2 linked regions of the Notamacropus eugenii genome follow. The protein of the gene in region 1 binds, or shares a complex with, the protein of each later gene. Links are inferred from orthologs where the notes say so. Each region holds a gene or a part of one and is shown on either strand. Other genes may lie near its edges.

The links. Proteins that work in one complex are often made in the same cells at the same time.
Region 2: the proteins of TUBGCP3 (region 1) and MZT1 are in contact, whole or in part, in a cryo-EM structure (PDB 7QJD), measured with the Homo sapiens proteins. The link is inferred for Notamacropus eugenii from reciprocal best matches to the Homo sapiens genes TUBGCP3 and MZT1. Residues at the interface, in NP_006313.1 of Homo sapiens: Lys7, Pro9, Leu12, Leu13, Asn15, Leu16, Cys17, Arg19, Ile20, Leu21, Arg23, Val28, Gln31, Tyr34, Ala35, Val38, Ile39, Asn42, Phe43, Ala44, Pro45, Thr46, Ile58, Leu62, Arg67, Asp70, Phe74, Leu77, Lys80, Leu81; in NP_001065243.1 of Homo sapiens: Asn17, Ala20, Val21, Glu23, Thr24, Val27, Leu28, Glu30, Ile31, Ser32, Arg33, Ile34, Leu35, Asn36, Thr37, Leu39, Asp40, Glu42, Thr43, Ile46, Cys47, Val48, Arg49, Leu50, Cys51, Glu52, Gln53, Gly54, Ile55, Asn56.

Annotation. Positions count from the first base shown.
Region 1 is NC_092877.1:209,040,908-209,047,925, reverse strand, and holds the start of TUBGCP3 (gamma-tubulin complex component 3), read right to left. Parts: upstream 3,016-7,018; 5' UTR 2,776-3,015; coding exon 2,700-2,775; intron 1-2,699. UniProt on the Homo sapiens protein: Component of the gamma-tubulin ring complex (gTuRC) which mediates microtubule nucleation.
Region 2 is NC_092877.1:265,287,103-265,294,298, reverse strand, and holds the start of MZT1 (mitotic-spindle organizing protein 1), read right to left. Parts: upstream 3,044-7,196; 5' UTR 2,935-3,043; coding exon 2,856-2,934; intron 1-2,855. Other genes in the region: BORA (protein aurora borealis), read left to right, coding at 4,285-4,440, 6,948-7,054. UniProt on the Homo sapiens protein: Required for the recruitment and the assembly of the gamma-tubulin ring complex (gTuRC) at the centrosome.

The DNA.
Region 1 (7,018 bases):
CCCTCCAGCCCTGAAAAGGGTATAAAGACTCTGAGGTGAGGTTTTGCTTTGGGGCTAATTTTTTGGAATAAGGTTCATGTGCCAAGAAGAGACTCTGGGCAGCTGCTAAGGAGCCCCCCTCCCCTGAAAACCCAGATGTTGGTGCTTCTATCTCTGCTAATGATGTCAGACTATTGGAAGCCCTGTTGGTCCTTCTGTTTGTAATTACTGCTTTTTATTTCTGTTTGTATTTTCCCTGAAGTTCGGGGTGCCGATTTTCTCCCCTGAACTAAGTGAATGATACATGTGCTTGATTAAAGTGATTGTTGATCCCTCAAAAGTTGCTTTCCTTTTAGAAAAGCACATCAAAGATCCTGTACAGGAGGCCCTTCTGTGTATGCTGGGGTCCCTGCTGTGACACATGACTATTATGGATGTGTTTTACATGACTACATATACATAACTTACATCAAACTGCATGTCTTCTCAATGAGGCTGGGTGGGATGGGAGGGAGGGAGAGAATCTGGAACTCAAAGTTTTAAAAACAAATGTTAAAAATTGTTTTTACATGTAACTAGAGAAAAATAAAATACTAAATAAAAGCCAACCTGAAAAAAATACATATGCATACTCTTCTCTCTCTCTCTCTCTCTCTCTCAAAACAATTTAGAGTGGCTTTGTTATTCCATCAAAAGCAAAGCCTCACAAAGGGCACTGTTGCGAAAAGATGGTATCAAATATTTGTTACTTACCACTCAAGTTAACGACACAAACACTAGTAATTACTATAGGCTAAATATAGACTACTATAGACAAAAAAGTCTAACTAGATAAACATTTTAACCAGAACTCAGATAAATTGTATCTAAACAGGCCATGAAATCTACACCACCAGAGGCAGTATGGCACAATGGAATGAATGCTAGGATCCAGAGAGGAGCTCTTTCCTATGTCAGTTCTGCCACTTTAAGTGATCTTTAAATAAGCCATCTCACATCTCTGCAATTCCCTCGAAACTATGGGCCTCCATCTGTAAAGGTCTCAATCTCTAAGGTCATTCCAGTTCTAAACCCAAGATCCTGTAAATATTTTAAATAAATGTAGCAATTGACCATTCCTTTTCTCTGCTGAATGGAACAGCAAATACTATCAACAGCACATAGCAGCATACATCAAAATGTTAAGTATGCCACCTCACTTCACTTCAGTTATCCAACACACAGCAAAGAACCTGGAAATAAGCAAAAAAGGTCCCTAAACAACAAAATTTGTCAATGTGTTCCTATCTGAACCTCTAAGGCTCTTTATTCTAAATTAAAACAATTCTTACAAGAATTGTAAGACCACAGTTGATTAAAAGCAATAAATTAGTATAACAAATTATTAATAAATTAGCAGAAATCCTGGAGAAAGGTACACACTGAAAATAGTGAAAAGTGGGCAATGATGAAAGAGGCTAAAAGACTATGAAAACTCAGTTGACACAGTACAGAGACCACAAGAGATAAAGCAACGGACTCGAAGTTACTAAGACCTAGATGTGAACTCCAACTAAACCATTTATTGACTAGGAAGAAATCATGTAAACTTAGCAGGACTGTTTCTTCATCTGTAAAATGGGGTTAATAACACCAACTGAAACTACCTCAAAGAGCTGTTTGAGCTCAAATGAGACAATGATGTAAAATGCCTTCAAAACCTATAAAGTTCAGGTATTATTGTTAGGGGCAAATGGCCCAGCACCCTTCCACAGTCCCTGAGAATATAAGCCACTGCAGTAATTATCATAAGTCACTAAGAAAAGGTTAAGTGATGTTCAGCACACTCTGTTTAAGAGGCAGGGATGCAAGGATCCTATTTTGTCAATTTCATCACAAATGGTTACATTTTTAAAAAGCTTCAGTGCTAGATGGGCAAAGTTTCATTTAGCCAGACAATTCACTTACATGAAAGTCAATTTCTTTTTCTCATTACTTCCAAGGATCTAAGATTACATTAATGCAGCTGATCCCGGTGGGAAGGAAGATCACAAGCCCTCCACACCTGAACAGTTTCATGAGTGGCTCCAGGCAAAATTCCTTCACCTGGAAGCCAACCTTCTGAGAACCCACTGGAATTTAAATACGTCTGTCTTACAATTTCATCACTGGATCTATAACCAAAGCCTTTACAGAAAATGGCAGGAGGAGGGCTGTGTGTGTTTAGTTTTGTTTTTTTTAGTACTGTGGCTATAAGGCTTTTGGTTTCTCGTCAGTGACGGTGATAGTTCAAACAATTCAGTAGTTTGGGGGCCTATTCATCCTTCCGTCCTCACCCAGTGGTTGAGCGATTGAACCAGTTCCATTTTCCCTTTTGGGGGAGAAAAAGAGCAAACCTTCCCCTCTCTCCAAAAAATGTGACCATGTTTTGGTCACGGGTGGCTACCACGTAGCAGCCACTCCTGCGCAGCTGTGGGAACTCATCCACCCAACCCCACCCACCAAGTTTTCCCAGAACCAAAAGGAGCCCGCCCTCCCCTGCTCATGACGTGACCCGCCCACCCCACCCCCCAAAGGGGGATAAATTCTCCGCCCGCCTCCACCTCACCCCCCTTCCAGAGACCAGAGAAGGGGCCGGGGGTCTCCAAGCGCAATGACTCAGCCTCCGCCAGGCAGCAAAGGGGGAGGGGCCCCCGGCGAAGGAGGGGGGCCCCTGGGGCGGGGGGAGGGGGCGCCGTTACCTTCGCTCTTGCCCAGAATCCGGCAGCACAGGTTCTGCAGTAGAACGTTCGGGGACTTCTGGTCCGGAGTCGCCATCCTCGCGCCGGGGGAGGAGGGAGTGGGGAAGCGCGCGCCCACGGGGAGGGGAGGGGAAGGAAGGGGAGGGGGTGGGAGACCGCCGCCACCACCCCCCGCCCCGCCCCCTCCTCCACCTGCCTCCTGCCCCTCGGCCCCCTCCCCCCGGCGCGCACCGGGGGCTCTGCCGCGGCGCTCGCCTCCTTTTCCCGCCCACCCACGCGGGTCTCCAGGCGCCTCCGCGGCCGGCCGCTCGCCCAACGCTTAGGGACGGCGCGTCACCGCGGCGCCATTTTAACAGAACCCGCCGAAACTCCCGGCAAGCCCCACAATGCTTAGCTCCGGCACGCCGCGCCCCTCCTCCCAGGCTCCTTGGGTGCAGCTGTCCCGGCCGCGTGCGTCCTCCCCCGCGCCTTGGGCCGCGCCGGGGAAGGTTCCGCGGCTCCCGCGGTCCTCCCCAGCGGCCGAGCGGGGTTCAGAGGGAGCTTGCCGCTCCCCGGGGTCTGCTCGTTAACCAGTCTTCTCAGCCGAAGGTACGGCGCCTCGTTAAAAGGGTAGTTTCAAAGAACCTCCCGTCTCACTGTCAGTTAAGCCATGAAATGAGCCTTGAAGCGCGCAGGGTGCAACCCGGAGAGGTGAAGTGACTTGGCTAGGGGCACCTGGAGAAGCAGCCGTGCCAGTCCTCACGCTGCGGTGCAGGCTGCCCAGATCCCAAAATATCTCCCTAATGAAGCATCCACAGCCCCTAAAATTCCTACCCTACCTTCGGCTTAAGACCCATGAAGTTCCCTTTAACGTTCAGCAGAGAGGAGTGTACTATTGTGGATACAGCGCTGCTTCTAGTCGGGCAGACAGTTCAAGTCCTTGCCTCTAACTTGGGCAAGTAACTGGACTTTTCATTTAAGAGCCATTAACTTCTCTGTTTCAAGTAGTTTCTCAGAATAGCCTTGGATTAGAACTTGCACCTGAAATTGTACGGATAGTGTCACTTCCCGACTCAAAAACCCTTCAGTGGTTCTTTATTGCCCACCAAGTGACGTTCAGAGGCCTTGCCTTGGCTACTTTGTATACATTTTCTATTTACTTATGTGTACTTGCTGTACTCTGATACAATGTAACTTCTTTGAAGACGTCCTTGGCGGAGTGGTTGACTTGTAGTAGGCTCTTCATAAATAGGTGTTGATTGATTTATTAGCATAGCATTCAAACCCCTCAGTGATGCCACCTCAATTCACCTTTCAATTCAATACAGCCAATATTTATTAAAGTAATGTACAGTTAAAGTAATGTACAATTAAAATAAAGTAGTGTACACAGTCAGCCAGTCAATTAACGAAGGCTAGACACTGTGGCAGACACATAACTTAAATATGACACAATTCCTACTCTCATAGATTCTGTGGTCTAGTAAGGAGATAGGATACATATTCAAATGATTATAATAGAAAATGATACATAAGTTCAGAAGAGGTATAAGCAAAATATTATGTAAGGTCCAAAGGAAAAGCACCTTAGGAAAAGATGTATTTAAATTGAGCTTTAATTTAAATTGAGCTTTAAAGGATTTGTAGGAATTCAAGGGTTGGCCCACTAGGGTGAGATTCCCATTCTCCCACCCCAAATGGCTATGTTCCCATGAAATGCTATATGTAACTTTCTTATGATACAACTCTTTCTACAATATATTATGGTTGCAAAGGCTATAAGGACATTAGATTATAGCTGTCAAGATGTTGTATTATCCAAGCTCCTTGTTTCCCTTCACCAAAAACCCAGAGGCTCTGCATTTGGGCAATCATGCAGCTCTGCCTCCTACATAGTCTATGTCAGAGTCTGATGTCATTTTGGGGGATTGTCAACATCTACCACTTAAATCTCTCAGCTAGTTCCTCACCAACAACTAAAAACTCCCCTTCTCCCCTTTTCTTTGTGTATGCTTCATAAGATCCCTTCTGTCAGCACCATTACTTTTTTTAATTAGCACAGTTTTAAAAAATACTCAAATACTTAAATGTGTCTGTCAAGATATTAGGAAACACTCTGTTTTCCAGAGCTAAGACTCAGCAAGCAAGCTGTGCCATAAGCTTGGCATAACAACAATCCTTTGCACTTACCTTCTGGAACTGATGGTCCCTGAGCTCCAGACATGAAGCTCCAGACACGAAGCCTGCAACGAACAGACTTTTTGTCACCAGACAACCCTGCCTCACTGTTGCTACACTATACTGTTTGACTCTTTGTCTAGCCTCAAATGTATAAATCAAGGTTCAGCCACACAAAAACAGGTTCCTCCACTAGGAATAGGGCCCTGGCACATGTGTTCAATCTGCCTCCTTGCTTGTGTGCAATTTCCCTCACTTTGAAATTGAACTTGTTTGATTTCTGACTCTCCTGTCTCTGGCCTGCTCTTTTCAGCTCTGGCCATCCACAAGTTAGAGGCCAGTTGGGTCTGGTTGACAGATCTAAAATTCCATCCATTCAGGAGCTGCTTCCATCAATGTAGATCTCTACCCATTTATGTTTGCCTAGCTTGTGCCACTCTTGTTGCAATGTAGTAGGAATCTCCTTTACTTTCTTTCTCTCAACATCAAGAGTATCACTAGAACCTTCTACCTGTCATCCCTTGCTATTGCCACTGGCTTAGCCTTTCTCTTGCTTTCATACAGTTCCTTACCCACATCGTTCATTCCTAGGCTTTAGAGTTCCCCAGTGACTGTTTGTTGTAGCCTGTACACACACACACACACACACACACACACACACACACACACACACACACACCACCTCTTCCTTGCCTTTTTTTTGTGATAATCACCTTTGGTTCTTTGGAGGCAGCGTGCTACATATCTCACTGCCATATAGCAATGTTAGTAAAGGAGTAAAATTGAAGAGATGGACCTTTGCTACCATAAGAAACTTCGGGTCAGGGAAGGAACTTTGCAATTTCCTGAAAGTAATACAATCTGTTCTCCTCTTTTTCAACTCTGAGCCACCTCATTGTCCTTCAATTCCATCAGTACCAGTTATACGTACTGCTTGACAGGTTCTATAGGGTATTACCCAGATGCATATTGAAATCTTGGAAACAGACATTCTTCATCCACTTGGTCTTTCCTGTGTGGATGGACAAGACAAACTCCTTTGCATTTTTACAGATGTAATTTGAGGAAGCAGCACAATGCAATAAATGCTAAACTTGGATTCATGGGACCTGATCTCAAAGCCTGGCTTTGTCACTTAATCCCTTTCTATCTCTAAGCCTCAGTTTCCTCATCTATAAAATAAAGGGTTTGGACTAGATGATGTCTTGGTTCCCTTCCAGCTCTAGATCCATGATTTTACAAGTCCATGAATAACAAAGCACTGACCACACATATACCAGACTAATCACTTATTCCCTGCTACTATCTTTGCCATAGCAGGAAGGGAAAGAACTTCCTAGAAGTTCAGTTCTAGGAAGCTCTCAGTTGGGAACTGAGCAAAGGGAAGTTCATTCTTGAACAGGTATGGCTTCTTAAATTTCTCTGATGAATAAGGGAAACACAGGTCATTTCAGTGTTTCTCTAGACTGTAGTATAAAGCAGGTATGACTGAAGAAGTAACTTTTGTCATTTTTACCTCTCACTTCCCCAGCAAATCCAAATCTCACCTCCTTTACATGAGATTGAGAATGTTCATCAATCTAAACTTATCTCCCTTTAGGAATGGGACAAAGGGTGCTGGGTTTTCCTAATGGAAAAAGTGCTGCCTAAGTATCAACATCCTTCCAAAGATAAAGAGATGGAGAGAGAAAGTCAGCTACACTCTAACTTTTTTTTTCCTTTTGAGATTGGAGCACTCTATCTCACCCAAATTGGAAGTACAGCAACAATCTGATCCAGCTACAGATCACCACACAAATTCTGACCTGCATGGTTTCCAACCTGGGCCAATTTTCCCATTCTTTGGTAGCCCCCCCTACTCTCAATAGCTCACCATATTGATGCCAGATGTAGTGTGAACACCAAATCAACTATAGCTCTACTTCAGCTCAGAATCCCAGCTAAAGTGATCCAGCAGCCTCAGCCTCCCCAGGAACAGAGACTGCAGGTGAGCTCCATCATGTACAACCTCTGTATTAGCTTTCAAAACATCCACTCCCATATCTCTCAAATGAGTATAATCCAACCCTAGACTTGCCCATCATCTATGGTGCATAGGGACAACCCTATTACATGATAGTTTTCCCTACTAGAGAGTAAGGACAAGTCTTTGTTTTTGTGTC
Region 2 (7,196 bases), about 56 Mb from region 1:
TCATATGCCTCACTAGAACAGCAGGTATGTCCTCAACCATATCCATCTAGTTTTAGGCAAGACCACAATAGTCAGTCAGTAAGAAAGCAGCACCAGAAGGATACCGAGCAGGATGTTTGATCACTAAATCACAGAAGGGACTTTCTTTCCATAAGTGGATGCCTGTGCAGTGATAGCTTTTAGGTAAACTTGTGATGTAGAGAGGCTTATTATAATTATCCTACATTAATAACCCCCCCGGGGGGTTTTCTGTATGCATTATGGGTAGCCACATGTGCAATTCCACCAAGGCCAGGACCTCTCCCCATATTAGTAAATCCCTCCTATGTTTTAATATTCATATATTCCAATATGCTAATAACACCATTTGCTCTATAAAAATTCCTGTCTTGCTTTGCTAAGCTGTTAGCTCCTCTAAGGAGCCTAGCCAGTTTTCTGAGATTGTTATCATCAATAGATGCCTTTGCTTGGGTTGGAAATGGTCTTTGTGAATTCTTTCAAGACAACCCTGCAACACACCATGACACCCCAACAATCCTGCTGAGTTATGTGGAGTGATTTGAGTGTAAAGTCAACATTACAAATCTGGGAGACCAGAAAAATAATGCCTTACAAAAAAATAGGAAATTTGGAAGAGGGGTACTTTTTTTTTTGCTGAAGGGTGGGGAGGGTGGATAATAAATTGTTTTAGATATGTCGAATTTAAGAAGTCTCTAGAAATTCAGTTTCAAATGTCTAAAAGGCAGTTTGGTGATGGTGAAATCAGGGGAGAAACTGGGACTGGATATATTGAACTGGGAATTATGATCACAAGTGGTAAACCCAGAACTTCAGAGAGGTTAGAAAGTGTGATGTCAATTATAATCCAGCAGAGAAGATTAAATCAGAAGATTAAAAAATAGTAGTAAGAATGGCAAAAGAACCAAGGAATGGAGCAGTATCACAAATCCCCTCAGTGATGGTAAGGGACTTAGGCTATCTCCACTAGGATCTAGGAATCAAGGGTGGGGAACCTTTGGCCTAAAAAAAGCATTTGTTGGTACTGTACTCAGTCAAAAGGCTGCACCCAAGAACCTTGAAGGCCACATGTGGCCTCCAGGCTGAAGGTTCCCCACCCCGAAGGTTCCTCACCCCTGATTCTAAGTCATTTGCATAGAGATGGAAATTGAAATCAAGGGAGCTGATGAGATCACCAAAAATGAGGACACAGAGAGAAGAGAGCGAACTTAACTAGTTGGAGGGTAGGATATGAATGATGTCAGCAAAGGAGCATGAGAAGGAGCAGTTAGACTAGTAAAAGCAAAAGGAACGAAGCAAGCAAACCCAAGAGAAGAAAGTATTCAGGAGTGTAAAATGCTGTAAAGAGCTTATGATGAATGAGGATATGAAAAGACCACAAAATATCACGGGTAATCTTGAAGAGAACAGTGTCACTTGGGTGATGAGGCTGTAAGACTTAAAGGGTTTGAGAATTGAGAAAAGAAATGGAGGCAAAGAGTATAAACAGCTTTTTCTAGAAGTTGGCCTGTAAATGGGAAGAGTCAGATTCAGAGAATGAAAGGATGGGAGAGTCTTTCAAGGGCATTTTTCTTTTCAAACGACGGGAGTCCGGAGCATATTTGGAAAATGCTGAAGTGGGAAGTGCAATACAAGAAAGGGAAATAGGAATAATGCAGGTTAAGGGAAGTCAATTACATCTGGTGGACAGTATTTATTAATGGTCCACTGAGTTTGAGGTTCTGTGCTCCAGGCACAGAAAGGGAGAAACAGTCCCTGCTTTCAAGAAACTCAGTCTAACTGGGTTGATTGTGGTCCTTGGCTCTGGAAGAGGACCAAAATGACATCACCACATAAACTCAACTTCCAACGTCTGAGCGGGCTGATCAGACCACTGCCGAGCTTGGAATGCTCTACCACAGGTTGAGCACAGACAGTCGGTGGGAATATGTGGGGTGGATACTCTATATTTGTGCCTTCTATGTTTACTTTGTAATGTCTCAATCTGGGCCCTGTGGTGAGCAGTCCTGCGCCAGCGTCTCCCATGACAACACGCAAACAACCGCATAGAAATAAGTTACAATTAGGATACATTGTAAATAATCAGGATACATTGTAAAAGATCATCACCTCTGCAAGGACTGGACCGGCACCTTTTGCTTCGCGAGCAGAGACTGAGGAAACTACCATTTGCATAAGCTATTATTTCTTTCATAGCAAACACTTCAGTCATCTCTGCCTAAGGAATTTCAATCTCATCACGTGAAGTCACGCAAACTCAAGCCCTGCCGCAACTTTTTCTTCTTTTCATCGGGCTCACGTTCATCCAGACGCAGGCCCTTTTCCCCCAGGTTCCCACCTACACACCCAGACGCTCCCGGGCCTTTCACTTTGCTCACCCTCCAGTGCACAGACACTACGTGGGTTCCCGTGGCCCACGCCACACTCAGTGCGTGGACACACGACCCGGCCCGACCCGACGCCACGAGAGTTCCTCCCAGCACCCCCGCGCTGGACCGCGTTTGGATCCGCTTTAGAGCAAACAGTGGGAGGAGGCCGAGGAAGGGAGCGCGACCCCCGGGGTCCCAGACCAGGGAGGGATAACGGACCCACGCACATTCCGGGCGCCAGGAGCGCGACGCCGACGTGGGGAAACGGGACGACGCGCGCGACCGCGTACGTAGAAGCCGTGGAGGCTCCCCTCGAAGGCGAGGCGTCGACCGACTCGGGGCTGTCGGGGAAGCGGTCCGGGAAAAGGAGGGTTATTCTCAAGCTTCCAACGGAACCACCCCTTTCGTTGGGCCCCGCGTCTGCCTGCGAACTGGAGAGGAGGAGAAGGGACAGGGACGGGAACTCACCGTCCATGGTCTCCCTCACCGCGTTCAGGTTGGCCGCGGCGGCCGCCGCAGCCGCAGCGCCGCTATTACTCCCTGCCATGGCGACTGCCCGCCAAGGCAGGGGAAAAGCGGGAGAACCGTTTGACCCGGAACAGGAGGTAGTGTCCTGTTCTCCCGGGCAATCAGGCTGCGCGTCGTCTCCTCACGCCGGAGGGAGGCTCCGCCCCTCGCGCTGTGTGTCTGCCGCCGTGAGGCGCTCCATAAAGTTGCGTTCGTTTGAATCCCGGGGCCTCGTTACTATGGGGGCGTGAAGCGCGAAGTTTCCATTCGAATTTCCTACGCGATGGCCGTCTGATTGGCCAGTTCGAGGACGGCTCGCAGCCACGATTGGCTGAGCTCCCGGAAGCCCCGAGCCCTGGTTGGTCCTCGGCATCTCGGAATCTGGGAGTTAAAGAGTAGCTGGCTGCTGCTGCCGCGGCAGCTGCTGGACCCCCGGGAGGACTACCTGGATTCTCCATCTCTGCAGCTCTCGCACCGTGAGAATCGTGGCTTCTCACCCACGGCTTAGAGGTACGTGTTCTGGAGGGGCTCCCCCTTCAACCCCCTCATTGTATCGGGATTGCTTTTTTCCCGGGTTCCTTGCTGGCCAGTCCTCCCGCGCCGAGCGTGCCCTAGGAGAATGGGGGAGAACGGGGATAGCTCTGAACTTCCTCTTTCCGGCAGACCGAGGCTGCCTTTGTGGAACTTCTGGGAAGGCACGTTTCACCCTACTGGCACCCCTCCTCTGTCTCGGGATGGAGGCCACCTTGTGTCCTGTCCTGGAAACGTTAGACCCCTTGCCCACCTAGGGAACGTGAGCCTGTAACTGGCCCAGACCTGAGCAAGCGTATTGTTTTGGAGTAATGGCATAGACCTTAAAAAGAAGGTTGGATGAGCCGAGGCTGTGTAGGTGAATGGAGAGGGTGTGTGCTTTCCCTCTCTTATTAATGCCCAGTTTGTCCTCTGTAAGTCTTGTTTTGTACGTAGGTTGCATGTGTTCACCCACCTTAGACTGTGAGCTCCTTCAGAGCAGGGGCCCTCTTCTGCCCTGTTTTGTGCCCCCATGGCTTAGCACGGCTCCTGAGTAATTGACTAGCTGAGTTTGCTGAAATACCACAGAGTTCTTGTAGATCGAGGTAAGCTGTTAGAGAGAAGTTTAAGTTTGTTGATCAGGCATGTGGCAAAGTTCCTCAGTGGGGTTGTGGGGGGTGGGGGAGAAGGTTACTTTGTTTCCACTCTAAATTTTTTCACAAGATTTTACACCATCCTCTATTGTTGGAAGCCACAATTTTATTCTTAACATTGTAGTCATTTCTTCTTGTTTTGTAAAGGATTGTCATGAATGCTATGGTCAGATTTCAATAAGGGAAAACTGATGATCCTGTCTGTGATTTTCTTTCAGTTTTATGCTATGGGAGATGTCAAAGAAGCTAAAATGCAAATAACACCGGAAACTCCGGGAAAGATCACTGTCCTAAATCCTTTTGAAAGTCCAAGTGATTATTCCAGCCTGCAAGAACAAATCGTCTCCAGTCCTTCAGCATTTAAATCTACAAAATCTTCATCCGTAAGAATTGAATCATATGACTTATAAAAATATATTCAAATAAAAACATTTCCTCACTACAGGTAACAGTGTGACACTTAGAGAACATGTTTGTTAATAGCAATAATAGCAGTGCCTGACTAATAGTGCTTTATGGCTATAAGCACTTGGTTGGCTGCATGTTATCTCCATTTTAAAGATGAGTTCATAGACTTGCCAGCAGTCATCATGTTTAGGAAGTGCCAAAGCTAAGATTAATGCTTAGGTCTGCTTTCAGAGTCAGTGCACATCTCAGTCTCCATAGTTGGTTTCCTTGTTGAAGTTTGTGAAAAATATGAAGTCATTTAAGCTTCCTAAGTTTCTTCAGTTTTAGCCCAAAGTAGTATTCAGTAAAGCCTTGTGGATGGCCTAAAGAAAAGCAAAAATTTCTCTGAGTTCATCTTTTTAACTTGACACATTTTATCAGGAAGTTCTAACATCACAGATTCCATGGTGATAATGCATTTAATTAAAATAGATTGGGATTATAACTTTTTACTGAATTTCTAGGAAGGTTCTCTGATGTCGTCTTACTATGAAGGTAACTTTAGATTCTTAATCATACTAACAGCATAAATTTGGCAGGTTGTACTTAGGTAGAAAATTTTTAAGACTAGTTCAGTGCTTTTCAGGATCCATTATAGACAAACTTATCAACAAGAGGTTGGGTGTTAAACAATTCATTATTTGTCCATGGTGACCCATGAAACAGAAGATTCATTGGATCTCTGATCACACTGTAGACATTCCTTTCAGAAACCTGCCTTGTAACTCATATATGTGCCCTCATCCTGGAAGATTGGACTATGTCCTCCTATAAATTTTAATGAGTGCCCTATCCAAAGAGATGGGATTTTTTTCTACATTTCTAGAGAGGGGTCCATGCAGTGAAAGACAAAGGCTATCTTTCATATATGGCTGACAGCAACATAGTGTGGGTTACATGTTGGAGTTGGAATCTGGAAAACCTGAGCTCAAAATCTGCCTATGACACCTCTTCACTTTTTGACCATAGTTAAGTCGCTTAACCTCAATGAATTTCATTTTCCTTTTGCCTCATGAAGTTGTTGTGAGACTTGAAATAATCTATGTAAATTGCATTGCAAACTTTAAAGCACTCTATGAATGTCACCAATTTGGTGAGGCAACATGGTGTAGGGGATGGAGTATTTGACTTGGACTTAGAAAAACATAGGTTTACATACTGCCCCTTCACATTTAATGGCCATGTGTATGTTCCTGGGCAAGTCAGAGTGTCCTTAGATTTGTTTTTTGTGCTTTAAAATGGGGTTAATAATACACGTAACAATTGCCTCGCCTCATCCTGAGCTCTGACTTGGTAACGTATGTAAACTACTTTGTGAACTTTAAAGTACCATACAAATTTTAGTGGTTATTGATATCATCGTTTCTCTCTTTTGCTACATGATTTCCTGTGATTCCTTTCACTGGCATGCTTTATACCTCTTCTTTCATGCAGTTCTGCTTTGTTCATGTGTTTTATTGAACTCCGTTTTGCAAGTAAGGAAACTGAGGCATACAGAGGAGTTATCAGATTTGTTCAAAGTTATATAACTAATGTGGGCAGCTAGGTGGCCTAAAGTCAGGAGGATCTGAATTCAGATCCGGTATCAGGCACTTACTCTCAGTGTGTCCCTGGGCTGGTCACTTAACCCTGCTTGCTTCAGTTTCCTCACATGTAAAATGAACCGGAGAAGGAAATAGCAAACTTCTTGTCTTTGCCAAGAAAACCCCAAATGGGGTTGCAGAGAGTCAGATATGACTGACAACTAAAAAAGACTGACAGACAACATATCACTAACGTAACATGGCAGGGATTTGAATGTAGGTCTTCTGATTCCCAATTTCAGGGGTCTTTTCATTACATCCACAATTTTCCCTTAGCATATTTCTTTGTTGGGAAAAGTCAGACCATAGCAAGCACTTACGTTCTTATTTACTGACTGGTTGTTATTAATTTATTCAAAATTCGTCCCTATGGAGTGTCTTGATTATTTAAAATAGAAATTAGTAAATTTGTCCATATTACCTTTTGTTTTAGTAGTTTTTATTCTAATTTTGTAAAGGCAGAATATCATAGTAGATATTAAAGAAGTTTAGGGAGATGTGGGTTCAAGTCCTGCATGTAGCATTACTAGCTGTGGGCCAATATTTTAACCTCTCAGTGCCCCAGGCAACTTTCTAAGACTAATTCCTGATCAATTGCTCATCTAGGTTGATGGAGAGAGTTTCTATACCAGGCTTCCCTATTCTGATCAAATCATAGCTCTTGCCCTGCTTCTCCTACCCTTTTGACTCCCTCCACCCACCCCAATGTTAATGTGTCACTAGCTTTAGAGAACATTGTGTTAAATGTTGGCTGCTCCTAGTCTTCCTGAAGGTGACTTTTATTAGTTTTTTGATAGAATAGTAAACATTGTGCAGCTCACCGTTTTATTCATAAATGTTCGTTTCTTTTTTTTGTTAAGACTCCAGGGAAATTTAGATGGTCTATTGATCAACTTGCTGTCATAAATCCTGTGGAAATAGATCCAGAAGACGTTCATCGTCAAGCTATATATTTAAGTCATTCTAGGTAAGTTTTTGTATACTTGCCCTGAAGTGTAATAACCTGCTCTTGAAAAGTAGTAGAAAATGAAACCTTTAAATTGATATAAAGGCAGCAAGGTGGAGTAGTTTGTGCAGATTCACCATGCCAGATAGAGATGTATTACAAG